Linked DNA regions of Oryzias latipes. The protein of the gene in region 1 purifies or fractionates together with the protein of each later gene. This does not show direct contact. Links are inferred from orthologs where the notes say so. Each region holds a gene or a part of one and is shown on either strand. Other genes may lie near its edges.

The links.
Region 2: the proteins of ss18 (region 1) and smarcd1 purify together in Homo sapiens (affinity purification with mass spectrometry; 5 studies listed by BioGRID and IntAct, counting the BioPlex papers as one, with this or other methods). This does not show direct contact. The link is inferred for Oryzias latipes from reciprocal best matches to the Homo sapiens genes SS18 and SMARCD1.
Region 3: the proteins of ss18 (region 1) and SWI/SNF-related matrix-associated actin-dependent regulator of chromatin subfamily D member 2 purify together in Homo sapiens (affinity purification with mass spectrometry; 4 studies listed by BioGRID and IntAct, counting the BioPlex papers as one, with this or other methods). This does not show direct contact. The link is inferred for Oryzias latipes from reciprocal best matches to the Homo sapiens genes SS18 and SMARCD2.
Region 4: the proteins of ss18 (region 1) and bicra purify together in Homo sapiens (affinity purification with mass spectrometry; 3 studies listed by BioGRID and IntAct, counting the BioPlex papers as one, with this or other methods). This does not show direct contact. The link is inferred for Oryzias latipes from reciprocal best matches to the Homo sapiens genes SS18 and BICRA.
Region 5: the proteins of ss18 (region 1) and smarcc2 purify together in Homo sapiens (affinity purification with mass spectrometry; 3 studies listed by BioGRID and IntAct, counting the BioPlex papers as one, with this or other methods). This does not show direct contact. The link is inferred for Oryzias latipes from reciprocal best matches to the Homo sapiens genes SS18 and SMARCC2.

The regions. Positions count from the first base shown.
Region 1 is NC_019875.2:25,758,068-25,764,403, reverse strand, and holds the start of ss18 (protein SSXT), read left to right. Parts: upstream 1-2,240; 5' UTR 2,241-2,368; coding exon 2,369-2,434; intron 2,435-2,521; exon of another isoform or gene 2,522-2,631; coding exon of another isoform or gene 2,632-2,652; intron 2,653-2,874; coding exon 2,875-2,951; intron 2,952-3,031; coding exon 3,032-3,116; intron 3,117-4,431; coding exon 4,432-4,588; intron 4,589-5,580; coding exon 5,581-5,811; intron 5,812-5,967; coding exon 5,968-6,138; intron 6,139-6,336. Other genes in the region: psma8 (proteasome subunit alpha type-7-like), read right to left, coding at 6-132, 1,480-1,581. UniProt on the Homo sapiens protein: Appears to function synergistically with RBM14 as a transcriptional coactivator. Isoform 1 and isoform 2 function in nuclear receptor coactivation. Isoform 1 and isoform 2 function in general transcriptional coactivation.
Region 2 is NC_019863.2:13,903,209-13,909,638, reverse strand, and holds the start of smarcd1 (SWI/SNF-related matrix-associated actin-dependent regulator of chromatin subfamily D member 1), read left to right. Parts: upstream 1-2,727; 5' UTR 2,728-2,763; coding exon 2,764-2,946; intron 2,947-6,430. UniProt on the Homo sapiens protein: Involved in transcriptional activation and repression of select genes by chromatin remodeling (alteration of DNA-nucleosome topology).
Region 3 is NC_019877.2:6,914,882-6,920,622, forward strand, and holds part of SWI/SNF-related matrix-associated actin-dependent regulator of chromatin subfamily D member 2, read right to left. Parts: intron 3,828-5,741; coding exon 3,649-3,827; intron 3,089-3,648; coding exon 3,046-3,088; intron 2,947-3,045; coding exon 2,824-2,946; intron 1,727-2,823; coding exon 1,607-1,726; intron 1,025-1,606; coding exon 929-1,024; intron 833-928; coding exon 731-832; intron 1-730. UniProt on the Homo sapiens protein: Involved in transcriptional activation and repression of select genes by chromatin remodeling (alteration of DNA-nucleosome topology).
Region 4 is NC_019871.2:5,045,661-5,050,386, forward strand, and holds the end of bicra (BRD4-interacting chromatin-remodeling complex-associated protein), read left to right. Parts: coding exon 1-47; intron 48-131; coding exon 132-1,915; 3' UTR 1,916-2,965; downstream 2,966-4,726. UniProt on the Homo sapiens protein: Component of SWI/SNF chromatin remodeling subcomplex GBAF that carries out key enzymatic activities, changing chromatin structure by altering DNA-histone contacts within a nucleosome in an ATP-dependent manner.
Region 5 is NC_019863.2:4,303,063-4,309,578, reverse strand, and holds the start of smarcc2 (SWI/SNF complex subunit SMARCC2), read left to right. Parts: upstream 1-2,449; 5' UTR 2,450-2,484; coding exon 2,485-2,595; intron 2,596-3,255; coding exon 3,256-3,375; intron 3,376-3,475; coding exon 3,476-3,561; intron 3,562-3,688; coding exon 3,689-3,770; intron 3,771-4,874; coding exon 4,875-4,967; intron 4,968-5,087; coding exon 5,088-5,157; intron 5,158-5,240; coding exon 5,241-5,310; intron 5,311-5,618; coding exon 5,619-5,694; intron 5,695-6,516. UniProt on the Homo sapiens protein: Involved in transcriptional activation and repression of select genes by chromatin remodeling (alteration of DNA-nucleosome topology).

The DNA.
Region 1 (6,336 bases):
AGTACCTGCAAACGCCATACAGACGTGTTCATCCAGTGCACAGATTTTGCGGACAGTTCTTTCGTCCTGCAACTTCGCTACAGATTTCTTTTCCACGCCAAGGACAACAATATCTTTGCCTCTGATTCCCACCTGATCAGACGGAAAAACAGAATTCAATGATGTTAAACAATACATTCAAAATAACAGAACATCTTACAAAAGAGATGGTAATGAATATTACAATTTCAAATCAACATTTAAAACTGTTTGGATATTTTACCTCAGGATCTGATTGCTGTTTGGAAGAATCTGATTTTTTTTTTATAAAGATCTCCGTTTAAATGTAACCCCTTGATGCCCATTGATGCAGCTTTGCATCAAACCACTAACATTACCATTATTTAGCATTAACTTGAAAGCAAAAACATTAGTGATTTGTTTCAGAGCCTTCTGATTCTATCCATCCTGGATCATGAATGAGGACATCAGAGAAAGGGCACATGTTGGAGGTTTTGGAGTTAACGTGAGAGAGGCCAGACTGAGATGGTTCAGACATGTCCAGAGGAAAGACAGTGAAAATATTGGTAGAAGGATGCTGAGGTGCCTGGCAAGATGTCTAAAGGAAAACCAGAAAAGAGGTTTATGGATGCAGTGACCAAAAACATGAAGGTAGCTGGTGTTAAAGGAGAGGATGCAAGAGACAGCGTTAGATGGAGGAAGATGGTTCACTGTGGTGACCACTGAAGGGAAAAGCTGGAAGGAAAAGAAGTAGCCAGGTGGTTAAGAACCAACTGCATTGAAGCTTACTTGATTTCAAGCCACTAAGTTGACAGTAACAGATGTATCTGTTTTATTTTATTTTTTTCTGCAACTGTTGATGATGCTTTTTATGACGTTTTATGCCTTTTTTCTGATGAGTTGTAGAACCAGACATATTAAGGAGCAGATACTATATACTTCATTATATATAAACAGTGTCATATACATACTGTAATATGAATAAATTGCCGAATAGTTAAGAAGAAGAAGAGAGGGATTCTGGGTAGCAGGATTATGACAAGTAAGTAAACTGCATCCCAAGACAGTTTCAAACGTCGTAATGTGTAATAGACATTTTGCCCTTGTTGTCTCCACAAACAAGTATGAAATTATACTTGTTTCTAGCAATTTGTGAAATGTTTACCCCGTGAAACATTATCGATTGTATTTTCCTTGCTCAATCAGAACCGAAAGTGTGTCGAGAGTGACACAGCGACAAAATGCTAACCAGTGGCACGTTTTCCCGTTTAAGCTAAAACTCATTTTACCATCCAAACTACAAAAAAGTCTAGTAAGCGGCCCAACAAAATGTTAAGTCGTAACCCGAACTTACATTGTTTACCAACAACGTTAATCAGAACACTTAATGAATTAGTATAACATTTCTATTAGCCGCTAACTAGCTAACACAGACACTGCCACCGTTATCCTTAGCATTAGTTTGTCCTGAAGACTTACCGCAGTGGAACCTTTCTTTACAGCTTCTTGTGCATACTCTACTTGAAAGAGATGGCCGTCTGGAGAAAAGACAGTAATAGCTCTATCATATCTTGCAGCCATCGTGTAGAAGGAAAATCAAACAGTGTGATGGTTTTTGCGAAATGAATCAGCTAGTTAGCTAGAGACGCACAAAAGATTTGCGCATGCGCCCGACCTCTGACCTGTTGGGATACCAAAAAGATTACACCGGACAAAAGTTTTGATTAAAACATACTTTTCTGCGAACACATGCACTGGTGCAAAGATAAATTGCATCATATTTAATTTTTAATGAATAAGTAACCATTCAGTAATGTTAGAATTTTTATCCATTAACTTTTATTTTCTGGTACATCTTGGCACTTAGATAATCCAGAATGGCCGATGTTGAAAAATATTTTAAAGAAAAAACAAATGACCACTTATTAGATCCACTACTATTTCTATGTCTAAAGTTACATTGTATTTTTAAATTATAGCAACATTTATTTTTTGTGAAGCAATGTTCATTGCTATCTGGCATTTTAGCATTCAGTTGGACCATTCCACTTCCTGAAATATGGGGAACCTACTTTTTAAAATCATGTCGAAATAGGATTACATTTAAATTTTAACTAATACATAAAAACAATTTGGATCATATTGTAGGGAAAATTAAATATCGTTTTGGTTCACATAAAAAAAACCTCAATATTAAAAATAATTGTAATTAATAAGACCCCCTCCCCCCCTACACGAACCGCTGAATTTAGAAACTGCATCGTTTTCAGTACGGCTAGTGGGATCTGAGTTCCACCGATTTGTCTTGAGTGCTAGCTTAGTTTTGACTTTTATGCTGTAGTTTACTTTCATCCCCTATTGTATCACCATGTCGGTGGCGTTTGCACCTCACAGGCAGCGGAAAGGTGATATAACAGCCGCTGGAATACAGAAGGTATTGCATCTCTTTTAGCGCGTCTCTTATGGAAGCTACCAGACGTTGTTAGCAGTTGAGATTGACAGTGTTCGTCCAAGTCTAACCGCGGACAGGTCGGGAACTATGTCACACGATCAGAGCGCGGAGAATACGAAACTCTCTTCAGTCGAGACGCCATGTTTACACGAAGCGGATTTAACAGACTGTTTGCTTAAATGATGAATGGAGGCCTGCAGGTTTGTTAGCAAACGAAAGCTAGCCAAGAAGACGAGTCTTTTGTTAGCGCACGCTCTCATCTCACAAACCCGCTTTCCTTTGTTTTGAAACTGCAACAATCTCACACCAAAAATCACAAAAATAGACCCCTACACCAACGACTCACATACTACCCAGCTCTTTGTTTATATTTATCAATTGATCACAGACGTCTTTTAAATGTTAGCTTTTATTTTTTGCAGTTACTTGATGAAAACAACCACCTGATCCAGTGTATAATGGACTTCCAGAGTAAAGGAAAAACAGCAGAATGTTCACAGTAAGTCCTTTAAAAGCCTTTGTGTTGAATGGGTTTCAGATCTGTTTGTTGAGTATAATAAATACTTGTCTTTTCCCCAGGTATCAACAGATGCTTCATAGAAATTTGGTGTACTTGGCCACGATAGCAGACTCTAATCAGAACATGCAGTCTCTCCTTCCTGCTGTGAGTACTCATCCTTGCCCATAGTTATTAGTCTGTCACTTTTTTAAACTGTACATTACGGTACATGCATATGATCCCCTGTGTACTTTAGGTGTCATAGCAGCAATGATAAAATACATATAAAGTCATACATGTATTTAATGAGAGATAAAAAAAGTTATGTTTAGATGAAAAGTAGATGAAAATAACTTTAGGCTGCACACTTATGTATTCTGGTTTATTAATGTATTTTTTGTGATGACTGTAACTACTTCACATGATCCAGCTCTTTTTAGGAATTCGACTGAGGATTTTTTAGTTTATTTTATAGTCTATTTTTTTTTTTTTTAAATAGAATAAAAGAACAAATTAAAATACGCAGAGACTTACTATTGTCACTTCTGTTTTAAAGACTAATTAATAGCTCTTCATGCTAGATCATTGCTAAGGGCAAAACATTAAAAGAGCAGACAGAAGTCTTAAAACAACCACAATAATAAATGTTTTCATTGTAAGAGATTAGGTCACTTGTGTTTTTACACCTCTGCATTTAACAGTTAAAACAAGTTTTTCAGCACTCCTGTATAACTTCTTTGTTTAATTACAGAAACACGTGTTGCTCTTTGCTATAAATTAGGGGTCAGTTTATGTATTTATCCAACAGAATATAAATTCAATTTACCAAACCAAGTCCACATTTGCATAGGAGTATTTGACTAGCGTGATGTATGCCCTTCAAGTTATTCTGGTTGTTTTGTTGATGAAACATCTTTGCTTTTAAAGCTCTCCGTCATACTGAAGTTCAGTCACTTAGACATTTTTTCTTTTCAATTATTAAAAAGGCTATTTGCTACATTCCTTTAATAAAGCCAGCAAGCATCTTTGATTTCATTAAAATTATATTTTAAAAGTAATTTTAAATATCTAGTTGTCTAATATCTACTTTCACCGTATTTAAGAAAGGTTAGAGATAGTTAGAGGGAAGGCAGTTACAGTCTGACTCTGTGAGCTAAAGAGTAACTTTGGTTCTCCTTTCCCAAAGATGCATTTTCATAAAGATTTATGAATTGTTTCTTACATGCCTTAAATTTTTGAAAAGTTTGTTTTTCTTTCTGTTTTTTTTTATGCATCCACATGGCATTGTATGTGGCCACAAGCACGTTTATTAAACGAGGTTGTTTTATTTGGCAGTTGGTCAATGTGTGCCTAAATGTCTTGCTAATCATACGCACATAAGTTTACTTTTACTTGATTTAGCTTTCTTTTTTTTGTTTCTTGTGATGATATGATTTTTCCCATTGATTGGTATATTTGTTCTTTTTTTTAATGCTTTCAGCCACCCACTCAAAACATGCCTATGGGCCCTGGTGGCATGACCCAAAGCGGACCTCCTCCCCAGCCCCCACATGGTCATAATATGCCCTCTGAGGGAATGGTCAGTGTTGGCCCCCCAGCCCCCCATATGCAGAGCCAGATGAATGGACAGATGCCTGGTAAGTCACTAACTCAATATGTCCTCCTCTGTCTTTCTTTCTTTTTCTTTTTTCTCTCCCAGTTTCTGTCTTGCTCAGGTTGCTTAGCAACACCGCAGAACCAAGAGGGAGGTCTTCTGCTAAAGGATGATGTCATTCGTTGGGGTGCTGTGATGGCCTTGAACTTGATTTTGACTTGATACCTTTTTTGTTTTCTTTTTAAGCACAAAAGTATACATAAATCTAAAAAATATACACGGGTATATATTTTATTGGAACTCTTTTTCTGGGTAAAGTTTAACAGATTTTATTGGGGATCAAGTCACTCTCCTAAAAATTACTCAACCATCTTTTTATACGAATTTGATGCTGTAAATATATAGCACATGTTTTCCGTGGACTTTTTTAACTAGTTAGAGAAAAGAACTGCATCCATCAGGGTTGCTTTAAAGGTTATGTGGAATCTCTTTCAAAGGCAAAGACTTCATTTTAAAGGCAGAAAGAGCTGTTTTACTTTAAAAATAGCTTTAAGAATTTGATCGATAACTATACAACTTTTTTCTGATACGCGTTTTAATTTTTTTACAATTGCAATCCAATCTTTTGTTTGCATATTAATGTGTTTAGACTTCCAGCAGATATTTATATCATCATAAACAAAATGATTTTTCCATCTACAGATTAGAAGAAGTTTCTGTAGTTCCTTCAGTGCATTTAAAACTGGCCTAAATTAGAAGATAAAGTAAACATAATTGCTAAAATGTTCATCCATCTGTAAGTTAAACTCGCAAGAACCTTTATGAAATCAAAAAATACAAACTCTAATTATTCCAAAGTTGTAGCATTCCACTAGAATTTTTAATGTAATACGGGAAAAATGGTCATTTCCATTAAGTTTTTATTAGAATAAATCAAACCAAAATCAGGCCACAGAAAAGTTATGTGTAAATTACTGTTTCACTCAATGTTCTTGACCTTCCATAACTATTTTGTGCTTCTTTTTTTTCTTTCAGGTCCTAATCACATGCCCATGCAAGGACCCGGTCCAGGCCCCAACCAGCCTCCAAACATGTCCAGTGGTTCCATGAACATGCCCCCCAGCAGTCATGGCTCCATGGGGGGTTACAATCATGCTGTCCCATCCTCTCAGGGGATGCCGGTTCAGAGCCAAATGAGTATGACCCAAGGCCAGCCAATGGGAAACTATGGACCTCGACCAAACATAAACATGCAGCCAAGTCAAGGTGAAGCAAGTTTTCCTGTCTTGCAATCCGTGGAGTTTTATTGATTTCTGTTGCGTCTTGCTGTGCGGGACTGGTGTTTGTGTATTAAGTTTAGCGCTGTTATCTATTATGGGTCTATTATAGGGAGATATCTAACTCATTTTGGGGTAATTCCAGGTCCGATGATGCATCAGCAGCCTCCGTCACAGCAGTACAACATGCCTCCAGGTAGTGGTGGACAGCACTACCAAGGACAACAGAACCCTATGGGTATGATGGGTCAGGTCAACCAGGGGAACCACGTCATGGGACAGAGGCCAATGCCCCCCTACAGACCCCCACAGCAAGGTATAAAGCTGTTAGTGGTCTTATGCATGGAAGTTTTGAAGTCCGATCTTCCCTGGAACCCTCCTCCTTCATCTCCCATTCTTTCTCTTCTCAATTTACCTTTCTTGTGGAGTTCACATACACCTTGATGCACCCTGAAGCATCAAGTCTTTTTAGATCCTAAGAGAACACGTCTCTCTAGAGCTCATGGCAGGGAGT
Region 2 (6,430 bases), on another chromosome or scaffold:
TTTTGTGCAAAAATAAATCATTTTTTCTGCTATTGCACTACAGCACGTCTTTTATAAGGGTGTGTGTCAGATGAGTCACATTTGTGAAATGAACTTTTCCTGTCAGATCTTTCAGCTAAATTAGGATTCTTGTCCATTTGTCATGGATATGCCAGCTGACACCTCCTCTGGGTTCCACTTTACATTTGGCTCATTAAAATGATTAATTGTTGTCACACAGTCAAGTTTTGTTTTACTGAAACACACTGTGGCAGGCCCCAGACTCAGGCCTGATCATGCTGGCTTTGCATTTGTTCTTTTTTTTTCAATAAGCCACTGGAGGTAAAGAAAAAGATGAACCTGATCAACCTCACAGTATATATTATCCTGGAGATCCCCTTTCTTCTTCACATGTTATCATACAGACCATCACCTATTAAACACAAATATATTATGCAAACAGAGGAGATGGCACGTTATGTAGGGTTTCATGGGTTATAATTGGCTAAATGAGGTATAAAACAAAAAAATGCTCCGAAGCCCCATATCACTGTTTATTCTAGGTGTTTACCTCAAAGGGAGATTTCAGAGGTTCGACGCCTGTTTTCTGCTTGTCTGGTCTAATGAAAGGATCAAAAATTAAATTAAAAATAATTCAAAAAAGTGATATGCCCTTTTAAAAACCCATCATGGGAACGCAATGGGACTGATTTACATCCTTTGATGAACAGAAAAAGGAGCTTGTTCATTAATTTATGAACCCCACTGTGATGAAATGAAACAAGGTGCCAATTTCTAAGAAAAGCTTAAAAGGCAACTTTTAGAAGATGAACTTGTGAATTTGAGTTTGCAAAAACAAAAAAAAGCTAAACATTGTTGTCATTCAGTCGGCCTATACAGTTATTTTTACCATCAATGTAAAGTAAATTTCCACAATGTCTTATGTCTCTGTTTTCATTTAAAACTAGATAATTCACTGAATACCTCAGCTTTGTAACACAAAAACATCTGATTTTCTAAATCAATTATAATAATCTCTGCTCATGCTCTGCTCATGTGCATTTAACATAAAAACAAGAAACTTGATTTTGGTTTGATTTACCTTTATTTTCAAATACAAAATAAACACAATAAAGTGCTCAAAGAGGAGTGGCTAGAAGAAAAATATTATTACTTTCCACGCCCGATATGTTCGATTTTTTACGCAAACCCACATATTAAATATATAATAACTACTCACATAGACAATAATGAAATAATGAAAAATAATAAAAGAGGACCAAAATGTCATGAGGTTATGATTGAACCACATTTTCCCAATGGGCTTTTCATATTCTAACTGGATTTATTTTAATTGTGTAATATTCTTAATCATTCCTCCATGTTATTCCACAACTTCACCCAAAAGCAAAAATGCACATCGTTTTTTGTGTTGTCCTTACACAAGGTTGTTTGATGTCATTTTTCTTTCTGCAGTACAAAAGAAGTAAAGACCCATGAAATTAGGTTTACTCTGATTCTCGTATATACTAGCAGAAAACAGAAAGCCCAAACAAACAGGCATCACAAAATACCAGGTGTTGTGTTGTTGAAAAGAAAATATTTTCTACTCCAGATATTGTGTTTATCTCAACATAGTCAAGTTCTGGACTTGTAGAGACAAAAAGTGTCACATGTTACTTAGCAAAATGATGGAAAGAAACAATCCTGTAGCTGAAAACGTCATCATCAAGATTTCTATTTTATAAAACCTTCTAAAAACATTCAGAAATAACCTGCAAATATGTACACAAATAGAAGTTAGTTAAAAACATACATGATTGTTTTTTTAAAGGATATGATACAAAAATATGAATAGTTACATTAATAAAAATCAAATGATTTTCTCATTTGCAAAACAGTCATATATTATGAAAAATGAAAAATATCAGCAATCCACTGTTGAACCAATTGATTTTGTACTGTAGCCTAAATTAAAATGAAAACTTTTATTTTTAAATGTGTTCTTTAAAAGTTAATAATGTTTTGGGGCATTTTGTTTTGCTCTAAGTTTTATTTTGTTCGATAAGAGAAAATTGAAAAACAATGTATTCTGTTTTGATAAATGAAAGACATATAGAAGGCAATAGAACAGATTAGTGAATTCACATGAAAAGAAAGAAGACAATTTAATAGCGTCCTAAATTACTCCAATATGGTTGGCCTACCCGTTGACTTTATTCTTGTGCATATAATCATGTAAATTGAATGCTGGTTGTTAGGACTTGTCAGGACTGTATTACTCCAGCTAATTAAAATGTTCTTTCTTTTTTTATTTTAATTGTTTTATTTTCTACAGACCAGACAGATTTTTTCGTGTTTTTAATATATATTTTAAACTATATATGAATAATATTAATACATATACATGTATATATTGATATATATTAATACATATTTTAAACTACATGAACTATACTTTTATAGTTTTTCTTGTAGTTTTCATGAGTAGCTGCCCAGCCTGTTTGTTGTTTTTTGCTCTTGTATTTAAAAAAAATAGCACGAAAAACAAAACAAAAAAACTTCACGAAAAATACTAAAATATTATAAAGGAACATACTAAATGTTTTTTTTAAGAAATAGCCTATATTACGCCTTCATACCCCACAATTATCCTTTGTCTCTTAATGTGGGCAATCGTGCAGTGTCAAAAGAGAACAGTAGAGGGCGCTATCGCAAAGTGAACGCCTCAGTTGCTCTCGCGTTAGTTCCTTTGCTCCACCGGAGGCGACATCTAGTGAGGAGATGGCGTCCAGAGGGGGGTTTCAGTCTGCACCGACTGGTGGTGGTGGAGCTGTTGGACCTGGACAACCTGTACCCGGTGCTGGACCAGGCATGGGACCCGGGACTCCCACTGGAAGAATGGGTCCATCTTCGGCTGGTCAGAACCACATGTACCGATCTCCAATGCCTGGGCCTGGGTACCCGGTGAGTTATCACTCCATCTTTGCGTCAATGCTAGCCGGTCCGCTAGTAGAACAAAGCCACTCATCGCTGCTTTGTCGCCAATGGCTAACATTAACCCCCGTCCCCCTACAGGCCCAGTTCAATAGAACTTAAGAAACCCATTAAAAGTAATCGACTTTTAATAAATATTTTTTTCGAGCGCTCTGGCGGACTTTTATGAGTTTATCATGTTTGAATTTGCTAAACCTCCCGCTCGCTAACAGAAGGTTAGCTTACATGAAACTGTGCTACCTCGCCTGCTAACGCTAACTAGTAACTAGTTACTGTGTTACGCTCGTCGTAGTTCTCTAGTTACTGATTGTGTGGAGTTAACTGGCATATACAGATTGATTAAATCTATCAACTTTTATGAATACGTCTCGTTTTGACGGGATCCATTGATTTCCTCTGGGAAATCTGAAAGTAAAAAGTCCGCCTCTCAGGAACCGTACTCTGCGAAAACATCTGGCTGCTACCGTCATGTGAGTCTAAATTCAAATTTGCTGAAAGGTAATTTCCGAAAACCCGCTTGTATTTGTCGCGTCTCTCTTTGCTGACGTTTAAAAATTGGCATTTGATTTGACTTCTACTTAACGGAACCATTGAGTTTTTGGTCAGGTTTTAGGTGTAACTCCGCCGTCGAGAACTTCTACTTGTTAATAATACAACGCTTGGTAATGTTTTGCTATTAAAGTACACGCAACATAGTTTACTCATACATTGCAGTTGTTAAACTTAAAAAGGGGGGGGGGGGGGGGGCATGGTAAACTTAAAAGTCCACCCACCTACCTACCAACCTGAATTAATTTTTTTAAAATAAAGACATGCACCCAATTTTGAGAGGAGTCTTCATACTTTTAACCAATTACAAATGAGGTAAACTCAGAATTTACTTGAGGGCATGATAAATATTTTTAGAAATTGAAGATCTTAACCTTGAAAAACTTCAAAAAATGTTTTATTTTTATAAACTAGCAGGGAATGGAGAAGTATCTTATTTATAAATCTATCAAGATCGTTTGATTCTTAATTGATGGAAAGGTGGGTGGTGATGTCATTGTCTGTATAAGAGAACTGGACTGAGCGAGTCTGACGTCACCCGTAGAAAGAAAAAAAAAACGCCTTACTTTCAGCTCCAGCAAAATGAATCCATCAGTCGCTGTTAGATCTGCAGTACACTCATCCCCATGTTGGAGCCAGACCACCTAAGTAAACGGTGATGAGCCTGCGTCTGTAGGAGTCGACGCTTCTATGGCAACTCCTGTCGCCAATCAGGATTAAGCTTTTATCTTAGTCCACATCTCTGCCACTGAAAGCAGGCTCAGGAGAGTCTGTCAATTAAACATTTCAATCATTAGAGGCGGGGTTTACACACGTTCGAGCAGGTACTTCCTATTTGACATCCGGGGTGGGGGTGGGGGGTCACTTAGTCCAGTTCTATTAGGCGGGGATGTTTTGGTGGAAACAAATTGTGGAACTTGAGGGGAAAGTAACATGGCAGTGAAAAATGATGAGGGAAGTGAGCTGTTAGTGGCGGGCTAACATAAATTAAAATGGAACGTGGAAGTACAGCTAGCTAGTTTGGTGATTCAAATTTTAGTGTGGAGTAGTGTACGCAGCAACCTTTGTCACCGTTTTCAAGAAGTTTAACATTAATGCTAAAGATGTTTGTTGTGTTGAAACAGACTAAGAGAAAGAGTTTACATTTCTGCAGTTCTTTTAGGGTTTTAAAAGTGTCCTAGATGTTCAGACTTCATATTTACAATACCTAGACCAAATCCAAGTTCTTCCCCCACTTCTACTTCTCCCTACACCTACAGTTAGCCCTCCAAATGGAGTGTCATATAAAAATAGTCATTTAGACGTCACTCTGACTCGATGAGGTCATCAATCGTCGTCGGTCAGCCACGTTAGCGGGTGGCGATCAGAAGTAAATAACGTGGGTTTTAGAACATTAAAAAGCCATGCTAAAACAAAAAGTATTTACTTACATTTACGTGTAAACTTCTGTGCTTCAAGGCACACCCACTTGCAGAGATACGTTTCTCTTTTGCGGCACAGAACATGCGGAACACCTTTGCGTTGGAGGGCTCCGTATCCCTCCGCGCAGTGAAGGTTTTCCATTCCAAAAACTAACACCCCTACCCCCAAATGCCCCTACAATTGGAGGGAAAGAGAGAAGCTGGAGGGGTAGGGGAAGAATTTGGATTGAACCCTAGTGGGTTTATGTTGAAGTCTGTTTATCTAAAAGACTTTCGATGAAAAAATGTTTTTCACTAAGGCAGTGATTTGGCTACAGTTGTTTATTTTTGTGATTTAAAGACCAATCCCACTAAAGGATACTGTTGACTGTTCCATCTAGGCCTTCACGATAAATGGCAAATTTCTCGTTATCGCGATATCAAGCTGTGCAATCCGCATATAGCAAAAGACAGCGAAAATCGCAATAAATTGTTACTTTAAATGTGCTAAAACAATCTTATGACAGCTTGTAATTATTTAGCAAATCAAATAAATCTATTTATGGATGAAGCCTTTTTGTTAGAAGCTCGCCTCCCATGAAGACTAGTTTCATGTGGAAAATAATTTTAGTTATGTTGACTCTTATTTAAATTAAACCACAGTGAAATGCAAATGAGGATTTTGGTTGTTTTGCTATTTGTTCATAAATCGCAAGTTATATCGTCATTTCAATATTGATCACTAATATCGCATATCGTGAGTTTTCCTCATATCATGCAGCCCTAGTTGCATCTTTGTCAAACCTTTTGAGCTCTTTTTGTATTTTCACAAGCATTCAGTCACAAGAATTGCACACAAGTATAATGGCAGAATTTACTGCCATAATTGGTGAATGCTCTGAATTTCTCTACCGGTACAAGAAATATAAAAACAACACCAGGGTCTTTCTGTTACAAAACATTTTTATGTTCTTTGTGTTCCGGCTCCAACAGTAAAATGATCCTGAAGTACATTGTCTGTATTTGATTCCTAAATTGACTTTGACAAATCTGCAAGAACTTGAACATTTAAGAACGTCACTAAACTTGAAACAGCTCGGTGAAAAGATGTTACATCTTCTTTTTCTCTCCTGTATCCTTGGCAGCTCTCCCTCACACAGGCCTCCTTTCACAACACAATCTAAAAAGAGGCTTCATACTCTGAATATTAGAGATATCCACTTGTTCTTCAGCAGACCAAGGTCATACTGATCTACAGCGTAGAAAGCACTAAATGCTCGGCACAGTCCCTTTCTGCCTACACTGCACTGCATTGAAAAGGCAAGGACTGCTTTGTTGGAGTCGGTCCCTCTTCCTCTCTTCCACCACAGACTGAGTGTTGCTTTTATCTGCCTCACTTGTTGGACTGACTGCTGGAGGAAAACCTGCAATTAGTGGTCAATTTTTTTAAAACTCCTAATCTGCAATCATGCAGTCAAATACAAGAAGTCGCCTGTATGAGTTTT
Region 3 (5,741 bases), on another chromosome or scaffold:
TCTGCAGAGCGGCAGGAGTTCTTTGCCTTTGAGTTGTGGCTCTGTTAGCGCGGAGCAGCCCTGCTTCCGCTAACAGTCGTCTGTTTACACGCTCTCCCGCTGACCGTCTGCACGCGGCCTCATGGGAATGGAGCAGAGCCTGGAGCTTGTGGCCCCGCCCAGCGTGTTTTCTACGTCACAAACACCATCTTTTTCAAACTGCATCTTGTGTCTACTCCTGAGTCAAAACCATTTGAATAAAGAAATACTCAGAGATGTCTTTTTTAATTTGAACTCTCTTTACATATGTGCTCCATCACGAGAAAAATGCCACAAGAATGTGTTAAAAAAAGAAAATTCGATTTTCATCTGAGTGGGTCTTTGGAGACTTTTTATCGGATCAGATGAAAATCATGTTTTGTTGGATTTTTCTCAGAATGGAGGACATTTTTTAAAGAATTTCTGATGAATCAGGAATAGATAACAACTAGCTGTAAAGCTGGATAACTACAATATTGCTCACAGTCTTTTTTTTTTTTTTGCTACACTAATGTTAGCTTGGTGTTGCGAGGAGCTGTAATCTAGCGGGAGAAAGTATAAACAAAGGAATGCTGGGATATCAACAGTCACTCGTCCTGAGCTGCAGAAACTACGTCTTAAAAATCGACAGGTATTTTGCAAAAACCGCTTGGAATGATGGAAATACAGATAGAGTGGGGCTTTAAAGTGAATTGCAAACATGAAGGGCCACCTGATGGTCAAGCATGAGCAGAAGAGTGCATTTAACGTTGACGTCGCCGGGCCTTTTGACCTGGAAACCATCCGTCTCCTGGGTGGTGGGCATTCTGTGCCACTGAAAGGGAAAAATATCCAATCTAATTAGGAATACAAATCAGAAAAGTCAACAAAAGAAAAGAAGAGTGTGGTGTTAACGTCCTTAAAACGTTACCTCCACTAAGTGATTGTCCGGCCCGTAGAGCTCCTTGTCCAGCTCGATCACCAGGCTTTTGAAGAAAGATGAGAACTTCCTCTTCTGCTTGCCGGGCTGCAAACACATGAAACACAGCACTGCGTGACTGCCGAGCGTTCCTGAGCTCCGCGGTGTCAGTCTGCAGCTGCATTGTTGGGCTCTGACCGCATCAGGGAAGAGGAACCAAACTGTTGAGTAGAAAAGGCTGTTGCAACCCGCCCGCCCCCCCCTTCCCCTCCGTCAAATCTGTTTGCTCAGCGTGGCCCCCTTTCATTTCTCCTCTGCCATCCGTTCTCTTTTGGCTGTCAGTCCACGCCGTGCTCCTACACATGCCTGGACCAGCGAGCAAGAGGGGGGGAACATTAGGAGCAAAAACAAAAAAACTGGGGGGCCACGGCTGACAGAGCGAGCTCAATTTTAGGAGGGAGGGGGTGTTTCGGTTGGAGGAATGCAAAAGGGCGATGGTTTCAAGCCGGCAGAAAGCATGAACTCCGGCGTATGGAGGCAGTTGTGGGGTGGGATGAGGAAAGCTGTAAACGCACATCTGGCCGCGAGGTCTGCGCCAAGGATGCGGGCCAACTGACGCTTTCAGAAACGCGAGCAGAGACCGGACCGCTCAAATAATGGCCAAAGAGCAAAAGAACACGAGTCTCTCACTTCCTCCAGGAGTTTGCCTTCCACTCTCAGCTCCCAGGAGGACACCTTCTCCGACTCCTCGCCCTCGGGCTTGCTTGGAGTGAAAGTGTTGGAAATGTAGATCCTCAGCTTGCGCTTTTGCTGCATCATAAAAAAGAAGCAAAAAGCTGATTTAGATTCATTCAAGAGCTTCAGGGTTTTGTCTTTCTTCCACCTATCCATCCAAAACGTTTGGCGTTTATCAGATCCATCGGAAGATCTGGGCTTTTGGTGTCTTTGACGTTTGGAGCCTCTTGTTCAGACTCGCAGGGAGCTTCGAAACATTTTCTGCTTTGCGTTTCTGAAATCAGTCACAACAGTTTCTTGACTGTTTGTGGATTTGTCTGGTTTTAATTTTCAAAACCTAAAATACCATTTGATAATGTTGCAATCAGGCACTTGAGACACTGCAAAACATTTCACTTCTTTAGCCAACAAAAACTCTTCGGCCTCGATTCTCCACACATCTTTGCTGCATTTATCCGACTTTGTCAGATGAATAAGTGAAGCTGCTCAAATATCAAATGTTTTGCGTCAAACCTGGTTTCATCCGTCTAAAGGCGGATCTGAACAGGGACAGGTTTGCTTCAGCACCTGCTCACAATGCAAAAGACATAAAGACTGATCACGTCCAACTAGTATGCCTGTTAATACCAAATCGATCATCTGTGATCTCACTAAGAAACATCAAATCACTCAATCGGTGCAGTCTTCCTCCGTTTATCGCAGCAGTTATGCTCTAATAGCAACAGAAGAAATCTGCAAATTTTCAACAATTATTATAGATGTTTTAACCCCTAACTACCCTATTTAAACACTTTTCTTAGACGTTTATGAACATTTTCACAGCTTTCTCTGTTGTTTAAACTCTCAAAGTTCAAATCTTCATATAAAATAAGCCCAGTGTTATAGAATGGAAACAAAGATCATCTTTGCGAGCTGAACGCATTCTGCATAGCGTGGAGGAGACTGATTGACATTGGTCTGCAGCCAATCAGAGCACAGAACACAAACTGCAAAAAAAAAGAAGAAAAAAATTGCGCTAAATCAATCCTGAAAACAGCGAAACTCTGAAAGGTTAGCAGCGAGGGACCACTCTACTTAAAGTTAAAGAAGAAAACGACAAAAAAAATTGTTCTACTAAAAGTGTCAGAACCCTCCACATCTTGTTTTTTCCTAAAATGGTTGTAGAAACATACCATAATGGGCTTCTTGATGGCCTCCTGAATCTCCATGCGCTTGCGAGCGATGGTTTGATCCAGTTTCCTTTCAAAAGCCAGGAGGTCCATGTAAGCCTGGGACTCGGGGACGAGGTCTCGGATCTGAAAGAACCAAACGTAAAAAGTCGTGATTCAAAACATCCAAAAGCAGGAAATAAATTGAATTCTTTCTGGGGGGGGGGGCCGTTGGTGTTAACGTACCCTCTGTGGCAAAACCTTGTCGGCCATTTTGCGTCTTTTGGCTCTAAACCGCACAGAGAGAAGGATCAACGTTTAGATTAGAAAAGGACTCAGAAAGCCTCAAACTTTTCATGTTTTCATGAGGAAAAAAGACACGCTGACACATGATTCAAGATCAAGTCCAAAAAGATTCGATTAGAGCTCATTTGTGGACAGCTTCACAGTTGGATAACAAAGTCTTGGCCTACATGTCCTCTTCTGAGGGACTTGTAGTTCCTCACCGCAGCTGAACTCATAAAAACGCACAAGAGCTAGTCTGTCTTCAACTAAAGGACACAGTTGATCGTCATTATAAACTCAGAAGATGCTTCCAGAACTGCAGCTTATTTTCCTCCAATTCTGAGAATGTCGTTAGAAAATAAACACGGCAGCACAACAGATTCATTGTAACATTTAGAAATGTGGCGTCACCGAACAGCTTCAAGTGTTTGGAGGCAAAGGCCGGTCAGGAGATCCTCATGCGTAGAATGAGGCTGTGTTTTGGGTCAAAACAATTATACCGTCCAGTTGTTTTAGAAGTAAAGACAAAAACTCTCATGGTGCATCATCGTCTTCAGCGTTTACCCTCGTCTGAGGCTTCCGAGCGCCTCTTGCTGCTGCTGCTGGTGGTGGAGAAAACGCTTTCTTGACGCGTCCATGCCTGGCCGCATGGGAAGGTTACCCCCACCGTAAGAGGGACCGGGCATCTGACTCCCCATTACCCCCATAGGACCCCCCATCCTGCTGGGTGGGATTCCAGGGCGCTGGATGAAAGAAGAACAGTTTGATGAACAAAAGGGAAAAGCAGTTGGCGTGTCGTGTCGTTTGACCCACGTGAGGCTGATCTCTATTGAGTTTGATCCATTCTGTCCATTTCTGGTAGAAACACAAACCTTCAGTCTAACTCAGAGCTGATTTGGATTTTAACATTGTTAAACAAAAGAAAAGTTACTTTGAATATGTCTAAATCTTTCTTATCGATAATTTATTACAATTAAAGCAATCATTTACACTTTTTTACATTTTTGTTTCCCACCTAAATAGCTTCAAAATAAACATAAAAAGAGAAGATTGGGGCTCTTTTCTTAAAATTAACTGTATGGTTTGATGTTAGTTGGATAAAAATAGACTGGACTAATTATGGCTTATTAACTTTTATAACTAAAAACACAATAATTATAGTTTACTAACTAAGAGTTTTCATCAATAATTGGAACAAACTTTTTTAAATATGTCAATCTGAACTACAATTTAACTTTACGAGTAAAGATAAATACTTTTACAATTGAACCTTCATAGAATTTTGTTTAAACAAATAAAAAGATGCATTTCCTGCGCTCTATTAAGCACAGCAATGAGGGCCTTTCGATTCTGCTTTGTTTTTTAGTCACGGCTTCTGCAGACCTTGCAGATATTGAGATGGCCATGAACTCATTTGTAATCAGAGTACACCAAGAGCACACGAGAGCGTGAGTCGGCGAGCCAAAGCTGAGCTGACTTCAGGTCACACCACAGGGAAACGGTTAAGGTTGCGACACGGCCTGGCAAAAGTCTGGACCTCAACCCAAATGAAACACTCCAAGGAAACAAGAGCTGTAACATTTCTTAAAAGCTGAAGCAAAGCTGCAGTGAGAAACGGGCCAAGATTCCAACACAAGGATGTGAGACACAAAAGGAAACATCTGCTTCAAATCCTACCACTAAATTCATACAGAAGATGGAGCATCTTCAGCTTTGCCCCACTTTATTTACAATTTGTTGGCTTATTTTATGGAAGAAAATAATCAGTTTGTATGTGATTGCCAAATGTCCTTGAGAACTCAATTTTGACTTTGAAGACCCATTCCAATGAAAATCATGTTTGTTTGATGTTTTTAACATGTTCTTGGAGGACATACATGAATTAAATGAAGCTTAAAATGGTGTTTTTGAGTGTTTCCTTTATTCAAATCATTGTGAATCAGGCATTTGGCTCAAATCTGTACGTCTGGATGGCCCCGACGTTGCTCGCCATTTTGTTACACCGAAAATATTATGTTGGGGTTGTAAGGAACTGTTGGTGGGCGGAGCTGTTGCCAGTGGAGTAAGCCTGCCACAATTTCCCATCATCCAGGTGTTTACACTCTCTCAACTGTTCCGCCCACAACTCGGACACACGTGTCTAATGAACCACTGCTGCTGTGCAGAAACTATTTCCTAAAAACTGGGATAATCATAATCAAAACTCCACTGGGAAGGTTTTTAAAGCAGATCCAACGAGGATCGAGTGGGACTTTAATATATTTATTCAAAGTTCTTTTACTGTCAAACAATCTTATTTCCTATATGAAAAGAAAATGTGCTTTGAAGACTGGACAGTGAGTAAGTTTGACATTTTATGAACCGTTCACAGAAAAACATACATCAGAACTTTGATGGTTCTAATTTGTAGGATACAATCGGGTCCAAATGAAGCCCAGATGGTGCTGGAACAGGGATGGTATAAGTGGTCTTTGGATAGATGGTGGTGATGATAAACTTCCTTTTGTTTTCTCTAACTGACAGGAGGCCAAGGGCACCCACGTGACCCCGTTCACACTTCAACAGAGTACATTTATTCACAAAGGCCAGAATATTTAAAACCTCTACCCCCAATTAATGTTCTCTGGTGCCACAATGACACGTTAAACCCATTTGAC
Region 4 (4,726 bases), on another chromosome or scaffold:
GAAGATCGCCCTGAGTTCGGACAGGGCTATGGCCAAGGATAAACCAGGTACGCCTGCTGGCTCCTCCTCCTCCTGTTGTGTCGGTCAGCAGTTATGTAATGGCTGATGGTACTTTGTGTGTTTCCTTGCAGAGGAGTTTTTGGCAAGTGTGCGAATGTTGGAAAGTGTCTCTGTGCCGACGGAGCCCCCCTCAGTGAGTGGAGTGGCCCCGATTGACCCCCCTGTCCAAGCACCTGTTGCCCCTGCTTCAGCGCCTCCTTCATTAAACGTCGCCCCAAATCCTCCGCCTGCATCTGCTTCCGCTCCTGTTCAAGCTCCTGCTCCGGTTCCGGCGTCGACTCCCACGCCTCCTTTCCCCCCTACCAAGTTGGTCATCAAGCATGGTGGGGGTGGGGCATCTGTGTCCTGGTCTACCAGCTGTCCGTCAGTGGCTCCGGCCAAACCCGCTTCTGATCCTGTCAGCCAAAGCTTCAGTCGTGCTCCCACCTTGTCGTCGTCGTCGTCCTCCTCCTCGCTTCCCTCGGCATCCTCAAACTCCCAGGAAGCAGACGACGACGACGACGTCGCTCTCCCTCAGCGAACCAGCAAGCCGCCCATCAAGACCTACGAAGCTCGCAGGAGAATCGGTTTGAAGCTGAAGATCAAGCAGGATCAGACGGGTTTCAGTAAGGTGGTCCACAACACCGCTCTGGACCCGGTGCACACGCTGCAACCTCAGCCGAGCAATCAGGCCACGCCCCCGCCTCAGGCTCCGACCCAGTCTGAAGCCGCTGTTGCAGCAGATGCAAAGCCCCACCCTTTATCATCCCCTCTCACCACGGTGATCAGAACTCAGTCCCACGCGTGCACAGCTTCCTCTGGCTTCTCGGTTTCCATGACGACCACTCAGAGCAACCCCCCTCTGAGAGGAACTGCTTCCTCAGGTGGAGCCCCATTGTCGTCGTCCTCCTCTTCTTCATCCTCTCACTCCTGGCCGTCGTCCACCTCCTCATCCTCCACTCAGGTGAACGGGACGCTGGATCACCACAGTGTGGGCGGAGTCAAACACAACCCCGCCTCCGCCCCCACCCCCTCCCAGACAACGTGCCGCCTTCCCCTGCGGAAAACCTACCGGGAAAACGTAAGCCCGTGCGTCAGACCCGGTGTCCCAGGTGGAGGAGATGAAGGTTTGTCCTACCCCAGAGCAACCCCCTCCCCCCCCAGGCACGGGGCCTCCACCCCCCCCTCAGAGCGGACAGTCATAGCCAGCGTGAAGGCGGACAAAAAAGACAGGGAGGCTTCACGCCCCCACACAGAGTCTGGCCACGAAGCTGGACATTTTGGGGGGGCGGTGCAGGGGCTGGACAAAATGAATGAGGTGTTTAACCATGGCATCAAAACCACGCAGCACCATCATCACCCCCTGCTCTTAGACAGGGAGGGGGCCAAGGAAGGTCGCGCGGACCAAGAGGTGGAGGTGCGGAAATACAAGCGGCTGGGTGGGAAAAACAAACACGTGACCGGAGGGACTTTCAGAATGGACCAGCACGCCCCCGGGCCTCCCTCCCCAGAGTCTTCCTACCCTCGAGACTCTCTGCTTCCTGCCAAACGCTGCAAGTCAGACTCCCCCGACATGGACAACGCCAGCTTCTCCAGCGGCAGCCCGCCGGACGACTCTCTGAACGAGCACCTGCAGTGCGCCATCGACAGCATCCTCAACCTGCAGCAGGAGCCGTCCGGCCGTCACATCAAAGGGGGCGGCAGCAGGCCCCATCAGCACCAAAGTCAGCGCGCGGGGGACCTGGCCGCCTCCTCCCACAGACCCTCACTCCCGCCCGCTTCCTCTGCCTCCTCATCATCCGCCTTGGCCCAGCACCCTCAGGTTGGCGGTCGTGGCCACAATGGCAGCTTGGTGCCCCAGACTCAGAGCAGATAACAGCCCCTCAGCCCCAGGCTGGACTGACGGGGGGGTTGACAGGAGGCCGGGCAATAGTCACAAGTAGGCGGGGGGGGGGTCAAATAGTATCACTGTACTATTCTGCCAAGCTGTGTTGTCCATTTGAATTGTCCGGGCAGTTTGAATTTGACAGACAAAGGTTCCAGCAGGACAGTCGAACGCCGGCGCCTTGCCCCTCCCCTTTTTTTCCCTTTTTCCCCAAACGAGGCTTTTCCTTTTCAAAGTTCAGTCATTTTCGCTTCTCCTTGTCACTATTTATACATTCCTTCCATGTGGCCTTAGCAGCAGTCACCGTTCACAGATGTCCCGGCCACAAACGGCGTCCCCGGTGAGCATCGGGCAGCTTGTTTGAACCGTTCCCAAGGCGACAGCAGACAGCAGTTTCACCTGGAACAGATCAGTAAATACGACAACTCTTGTGTCTTGCATAGTCTTATCACAAAGAGACTTCTGCCTTACCGAGGCACACAGTAAATGCAATCCACCGTGTGGTAAACCTGACGGTTCACTTCTCATCGTTTACTAGCAAAAAAGAAGATGCAGATGGCGTCAAAAGGTGTTGAGGAAATATGGAATTATGAAATTGTTTTAGATCTTGGACCCTTCCCTCCTGCTGTGGAATTGCAAAAATAGAAAATCAGTTTTGTTCTGCTTCAAACATTTCCCGGGTTCTTGTTTCGCAGCCTCACCTCTGCTGTCGGTCGGTCATGTCTGATGGACACGTTTCCGCCCGCGGGTCAGTTTCCTGTCTGTCTCAGCTCCGTCACTGTGCACCCGTCTGTTTTTTATTCTAGCTCTGGTGGACAATTCAAACCCAAACGCAGCACAAGCATCCAGATGAGGGGAAAAAAGGAACAGTAATAATGTAAAAAAAAAAAAAAGAAAGAGGAAGAAACAGACCGGAAGAGAATTTGAAGTATAGTATTACAGATTAATTTTGTATTGTATTTATTGTGTATAATGACACTTTTTAAAAAGAAATGTACATTTAGTAAAACTGTAAATTAAACCTTGTTTCTTTTATGAAAACGTTGGTGTTTGCTTTCTTTTATTCTCCAGTTTAGATCAGTTTGACCTTAAATTTGGAGGATCCACAAAAGCCCCATAAAAAGCAAAAAATGATCAAAACTGGATTCTTTTTAAACTCCATGCCATTAGAATAGATAGTTTGAGATTGACAGAAGCCATGGAAATTTTTAATCTGACTTTGAAACAATAACGATTGCATAGCATGAGGTTGAAGTGACTGTATGGACTTCTAATCTAAAAGCTTTAAAAATGTTCAGTGTTATTTTTATACAGATAGCTGCTTTGATTTCATGAAGTTATCTGATTTAAATGTGTTAAATGTCAAAGCAGCACCTGAATTTGGTTTTTGCAAAAATGTTCTCTAATTTGTGATTTTTCTTCAGAAATTTTCTTAAATTATTACTTTAAAATGTTTTGCATCTAGACAAAAACTCAAGATTATTTCTGTCCTTGGTCAAGTTTTGCTTTTTTCAGTCTCTTTTATTTTTTCTCTCTCTAGTTTGGTTTAGTTTTGCTTTTTAACCCCAAGAAAAATAAGATGATGGTTCAGTTCAACATGGAAACACATTTTTAATAAATCAAGATTTTAGTTTTTAAGTGTTTTTTACATTTGACATATTTTCTTTTGCATCTTGAGAACTTGAAGTACTTAATGAATAGTTAACCCTTTTGCTATCATAGGCACTGTAACATTGGGAGTTGGGTCATCTAGACCCACTAGACAGTGCTCTGAACCTTTTTTCTTCAATGATTTGTGATCTTCACTGGTGTCCATGGATTACATGAAATCTTTCCACCTTTATCCACCTTCGTCATGGTAGGGAGAACACGTTAAAGTAAGGGTGGGGTCATCTAAGATAGCACAAGGGTTAATTGACTCAAATTTCTTAACATTTTCCCTTTTTGTTTTATTTTAAATATTTTGCATCACGGCTCTTAACAGACTAACAAAATCTCACATTATTCCTAGTTATTAGTCAAGTTAAGCTTATACTCTGAAGGTAAAATATTGACTTTCTGGAAAAACAATTGTGGGTTTATTTAGTGAAATTGTTGTTTTTAACCCCCTTTAGATAAAAGTTCAACAGCTCAACATAAAAACAACTTTTTAAAATCAAGCTTTTATTTCTTTTAACTAATTTTGCTTTTGCACTTTAAGAACTTTATGTACTTAATGTATGGAGTTAGACTTTTTAGACAACACTTTAGTTGAATTCTGCTTTTTTGTGTGTGCAAAATAAAAGAGAAATTTCATAAATGTATGTAAATTATTTTCCTTTTTTAGTTTTGCATTTTTAGTTTCACTTTTAGAACAGGTGTCTAGGCGGCTCTTTTGAGACATTTTCATGCTTTCATTTAGTCTAGTTTTATTTTTTGCTTCCTACTCCAGAAAAAAGAATAACTCATGTTTGAGTTCAGTTTTCTTTTTTAACCCTTGTACTATCCTAGGCACTTTAACGTTGGCAGTTGGGTCATCTAGACCCACTAGACAGTGCTCTGAATCTTTTTTCTTCAATGATTTGTGATCTTCACTGGTGTCCATGGATTACATGAAATCTTTCCACCTTTATCCACCTTTGTCATGGTAGAGAGAACACGTCAACGCTCATCTTGACCCCATAGGATAGCACAAGGGATAATCTAGGTCTTAATTTGTTTTTGCTTTATTTTTATGGAATTTGTTGGTTTTGCATCTTGAGAACGTTTCACACTTCATGGATGGAACTGATTGACTTTTTACAAACTAAAAACGACAGTTTT
Region 5 (6,516 bases), on another chromosome or scaffold:
CAACTTAGAACTTAGTTTTGTGTGCAACGTGGTGGCAGAAGTATCACTCCATATGCTTTGGCCTTGGCTTTTCAAAATTTCTCTGCTCCAGAAAGTCAAATGCAGTTTTAAAAAGAAGGCTGCGACATGTTGTCCTTGAGGGCTCAGCCACACTCACCTCTGGTATTCCTACTCCATCCCATTCATTCATTCATTCATTCATTCATTCATTCATTCATTCATTCATTCATCCATTTTCTATACCTATTTATTCCCGTTTGGGGTCATGGCGTTGCTGGGGCCTATCCCAGCTACTGTAAAGTAAAGGCAGGGTACACCCTGCACCAGAGGTGTCAAACTCCAGGGGTTGCTGTGAGTAGTGAGTGAGCAGCGGCTGTTTTTCTGTCTGACTGAGCACCGTGTTAATGAAGCATAACTAGGATGTGCAGCAATCACATCAAGACCTGCACCGATACGATGGACGAGTCGTGACCAGACCCTATGAAGACTCTTAAATATAAGCATATCTTAACCGTATGAGTCCTGCAGTTATGTAGAAAAGAACAATTTCAGACGAAGAACATAAAAGCATTTTTGCTGCATCTTCATCTGTCTGATCTGGTTTTGGATGTTGGCAGCTTGTTACATTAAATAGGATTCCATACCTGACCAAGAAGAATAAAGGAAAAAACAAGAGGACAGCATCCTTGAACACTTGTGTACTGATGTGTTGTTTCGGACAGCAAAGGAAATGTTTTTTCAAGGTGAAGAAAAGGATCTCATCCTGGCTGCTATTTAAATCCCAGAAGGACGATACTGTCAATTTAATGAGCTTCACATTGTGAAAAGTCAGAGTTTTTCAAGTTCACTGCAGCTATGATTTGTGCAACTTCTAAACAATTGACAAAATAATTATACTTATGGTGTAGATATTGTGATATGAAGAAATGGCGACTCTTTAAAGACCTCTGTGATGTGAACGACGCACAAGTGGAATCATGTCCACTTTGTTGCCTTAATGTAATAAAAAAAACACAGACAGTATTGTTAAAACATCAATCATGTTAACATCACTCAATACTTTTCTTATAAGGTTTAGCTGAGCTGTAAGTATTGTCTGTCGTTTCAAAGAAAAACAATCTTTGGAACTTAAGCATTTTTGGAGGTACTGTTTTTTAAGGAAACACTGCCACAGGACACTTACTGCTTTCATATAACCGATCATTTAAGTCCTGATTTATTTTTCTGTTAGTACAGAGCAAAACATTTCACAGACACATCTGTTAGATGTCTTAATTGTGGCTATTTCAATGGATATGCATCATATTGACATCAATGCCTAGAGGCCTATCAGACCTTTTAGCAGACGACTTTCACACAGCTAATCATGTCACGGTCCCAAAATATAAACCAGCTGCCATTTTTCTTGATAAATAGGGTAATTATATAACATATAAAATAATACAAAAGGTGCATTAATGGTGGTTTTGTGTTCTTTAGAGGACGTCTTTCAAACTGTCAAGAATGCACCAGAGGACAGTATTCGTAAAGATGCATACAACAAGATTTTCAGTAAAAAAAGAACAATCTGAATGTGTCTAAAAATGGGATTACTTTGGTGAAAGTGACTGTTCAGACTATACTTGTTCAAGCATATATACTGTGGTTAGCAGAGGTTACATGGGTAGAAGCTCAGCCTGGTTTCTAGTTTGATTCCAAAGGACGTGCAAGCATTCAAAGCTACTGGTCAGTCATCACACATTGAGCTGGGGCCCTATGATTTCACAGGCGTTTGACACTGGTGACCCAATTTCAAAAGGTAACCCCTGCACCCACAACCCATCTATGACGTATCAGCCAGGCTTCCCATCTGATCCAGATGCTTTCTGGACAAGAGAGGCCCTTCATCAGTCCCAGGACGACCAAAGGTGGTTTAACATGTCACAGCTTGAAGGTTTCTTCATCTTCATCTCTGCCATTAGTCACCTTCCTCGCTGCATTCTGCACAGTGTCCTGGAAGATGTCAAATGACCAATTTTCCGACCTCGCTTGAGATATAAAGATGTTTTTAAAAGAGATATGAAGGACTTCCAGATAGATCCTGCTACTTGGACTGCTACTGAAGCGACAGAGGGAGATGGGACACCACCTTAAAGAGAGGTATCAAAGTTGTTGTATCAGACAGATTCTAGAAATTCTACTATGGAAAAACGTTTAATTTATTTTGGAAAACCCTGAGTCTGGGGGATCTGCTTCATAGGTTGGGAAGACTTAGTCTAAAGTAGGTATGGATGACCAACGCAAAGGAGAAATGCTTTTATAAACAATACACTGTTTTTGTTTTTTAACAATGGAAATGTACAAGGAAGGAAGCCAACATTCTCTACACCATTCCGCCACCTGCTGGATGCGGGCATTCATTACAGGACACTTGTTCAAGCAGCTGCAGGGACTAACTGCGTCCACTAGGAGGCGCGCAACACCGACAGTTGTCTGCAGGCAAAGATGGCGGTGCGGAAGAAAGACGGCGGCCCGAATGTTAAATATTTCGAAGCATCTGACACCGTTTCTCAGTTTGATAATGTCCGCGTCTGGTTGGGAAAGAATTACAAAAAGGTACTGTGGGCTTGTTTTTGTGCGCATGCTCACAGAGTTCTCCTTTTCACCCTCAAATGTGGGCACTTACCCAGTGGGCAGAGGCAGTGACAAAGAGAGGAGGGAGGGTGCTGCTGCTGCTGCTGCTGCCGCTCAGCGTCCAGCTGTTTGGGATACAAAAGGATGCTGAGCAAACAGCTGCAGCACAAGCGCGCGCTTCAGGCGTTCTGCGGATACACGTGACTGCAGATAAACTGCCACAAAGGCAGCGCGCGACTCTTACTCGGTGGACGGATTTGTTTTCTATAAAGAAAATACATGACTTTAGCCTGCTAGCTGGCTAGTTAGCTGCTCGGCTAACGGTGAAGCAGCGCAGATCCAGATGTTGGCTCAGAGGCACGTCTGTCTTGAATAACAGCTGGCGGGCCTCAACTAGGAGCTCTGACTTGACGAAGACCTCTCAAGTACTAATCATGAAGTAGACTGTTATTATTATTATTATTTTTACAAATATTTGAATGATTGATGTTTTTAATTAGAGCTCTTTTTCATGGGTGAAAATAAAAGCACTGACATTTCCAGAGTTTACGTGAATGCGGCATATCAGCCATAGAACTATGTCTACCAGAAATGCTGTGTTTTAGTGTTTGGTGTATTCCTAACTTTGCGTTTTGTGTCCAGTACATCCAGGCTGAGCCTCCCACCAACAAGTCTCTGTCCAGCCTGGTGGTCCAGCTGCTGCAGTTCCAAGAGGAGGTGTTTGGCAGACATGTCAGCAACCCCCCACTCACCAAGCTGCCGGTATTTGCTTCTCAATACTCATCATCTTCCTCAATGTAATGATGCTTCACTTTTTGTCCTCTGTAACCTATTATTTGAAGCATTTTCCCTCTTTCTGCAGATGAAATGTTTTCTGGACTTTAAGTCTGGGGGGGCTCTGTGTCACATCCTGGCTGCAGCCTACAAGTTCAAAAGTGATCAAGGATGGTAGGGGCTTCTTTCTAGCGGATGTTTTGAGGATTAGACCTGTTAATCCAGTGAAGAATCAAAGGTCTCAACTGGATTTTGGCCGGGTTTGAGTTTCGTGTGTAACTCCAGTCTAATTTCCTGGTAGGCGCAGGTTTGACTTCCAGAATCCATCGAGGATGGACCGAAACGTTGAGATGTTTATGACGATTGAAAAATCTCTGGTGCAGGTGAGTTTGTTTCAGCAATCGTTCTTCATGAATAGTTACCTTCTACACAACTTGCAAAAGTGTTTATTTTCTAATATCTTCAAATCTCTAAATTATTATTATTATTATTAAAAACTGTCAATTATTTACCTTTTACAATTAGGTTTAATTTAGAATTAAGGATTTGATTCAGTTTGAATGAAACTATTTATGTGTATTTATATTCAGAAAAACGATCCACGTTTATTGTTTTTTATGCAAGTCTGAATTAATGATAAAAAAAACATTGAGAGATTTCATGTTTTTGTTTGGTGGCTTCAGAATTTTTGAATATTTGCAGAACCAGTTTGTTTATTCTTTAAAGTTCCACTCCAATGAAAATTGTGTTGTAGTTGTTTTTTTACATGTTCTTGTGGCATTTTTCTGATGATGGAGCACATAGATAAAGAAAATTGAGATTAAAATTGAATATTTCTTTACTCCAATATTTGTAAAATACAAAAAAAAAAAAAGCAGTTCGAAAAAGATCTTGTTTGTGACGTAGAAAATATGCTGGCTGGGTCAAAATCTTCCTGCTTTGCTCCATTCTGATGCATCCACCTGCAGACAAATAGACCCATGAACGTCTTTGTTCTCCTCGCCTGAGCTGGAATCTGGATCAAAACTGGATGGCTGGATAGCTCTGATGTTGCTCACCATTTTTGTTGCACTGATAATGTTAGGTTTGGCTATAAGGGGCTGAAAGCTAGCAGGAGAGAGTGTAAACAAAGGGATGATGGGAAGTAGAGGCAGGCTTACTCCCTACAACTCAGATGTAAATTTTTAATGAACTCCTGCCGCTCTGCTGAAACTATGTCCTAAAAAAATGACACTTGTTTTTAGATTTTGGCCAAAAGGTGCATCATCATAATTAGAAGACCGCTGGGAACGCTTTGAAAATACATCAGAAGATGATCGGAGCAGGATTTTAATGACAAAATCTTTGTGATGTGACTTTCGTTGTCCAACCCAAGGACTTCAGGGCTCGTGCAGTGTCTTTATTTGCAGAAGCAGAGATGTTATGCTGAGAGGAAAACAGCATTTACATTGTAATGGTCATGTGTTTTTTAAATGTACTCCTTCCAGAACCACTGTCTGTCACGACCAGTCATCTACCTGAGCTCTGACATCGATCCAAAGCTGCTGGGGAAACTGAAAGACATCATCAAAAGGCATCAGGTGTGTTTGTCATGTGAATGTTATGCCATACACCTCAAGTAGGTGTTGCTTCATTTTTAGGGCTCCTATGGGTTTAAACCTGTGAATACATATGATTTACACTCTTTTCCTGATTTGCAGGGCTCAGTGGCGGAGGACAAATCAAACAGCTCCCATATTGTGGTTCCCATCCCTGCCAGTCTAGAAGAAGGTGAGGACTTGGAACTGGACTGCTGGATGGATGTTTCTTCTTCAACATGCTATTCTAACTCCAACCCCTTTTTTATCTTTCAGAGGAATGGGTGCGTCCTGTGATGAAGAGAGATAAACAAGTTCTCCTCCACTGGGGATATTTTCCAGACAGGTTGGGTTTTTTGTTGATGCTCGTGAGCCGGTACCTCCATGAAATGCACCTGAAAACTCCTTCTGTTACATTTGAAGTTAATCTGAGTCCATGACTGGAGCCGTTACCTGCATAAACACTAAAGTATCACGTCTAACTAAGCTCTGCACTGATCTCATTTGGTAATAATTGCAGTGTGTCTTAAACAGAAAGTGATTATCACATTGTGTATCTTACTTAACATTTCTGGACAACAAAGGAAACAGTCTACCTGTGTTTTTCTCCAAACGGCGTGATTGGATTGGAATTTTCTTCCTCCCACTGTGCAGTTATGACACCTGGATTCCAGCCAGTGAAATCGAGGCTGCAGTGGAGGATCCTCCAACTCCAGAGAAGCCCAGGAAGGTATTTTTTTTTATCTTTCTTTGAGTTCTTCATCTCATTTTTTAACATGTTAATAAATAATCTTGATTTGTGCTAAAAGGTGAAGTGTTTTTAGAAATGTAATCATCTTAAAACGATCATGGTGTTCACGTTACATCAGCATGCAGGCAGAGAGGTGTTCAGTCAGAAACCAGCTGTGCCAGCTCTCCTACTTCAGCAGCTGAGTTTGGTCAGTAATGTTCATCATAGCTTCACTTCAACTGTGAGAGACAGAATGGAAAAAAAACCTAAAAGAATCCAAGAAACCACATGATTTGATCTATAGTGAAATATTAGGTAAATTCCCCTGTAAAATACATATTTATCTCATACAAGCAAACAGCAATTCTGTTCTTCGCAGACTTGTTACTTCCTCTTTAAGAAGCTCTTCTGTCCTACGCTGGCTACCTGTATTAAGGGCTCCTGTTTGAACTGGTTATCTGTAGAAAAGACATTTGTCCACAACCTCCAAACTCTACTATGGCCAAGACCAAACGGCTGTTAAAGGACACAAGAAACTAAATTGTAGATCTCCACCAGGCTGGGACAGCTCAGTGTGAAGACATCAACTGTAGGAGCAATAATTAGAAGATGGAAGACATGTACTGAGAATCTCCCTCCATCTGGGGCTCCATGTAAGATCCCACCCCATAGGATCAAATCATCACAAGAATTGTGAGCAGAAATCCCAGAACCACTTGGGGGACTTAATAAAAGATCTGCAGAGAGCTGGGACCAAAGTAACAAAGGCTACCATCAGTAACACACGCCGCCGCCAGGGACTCAAACCCTGCAGGGCCAGAC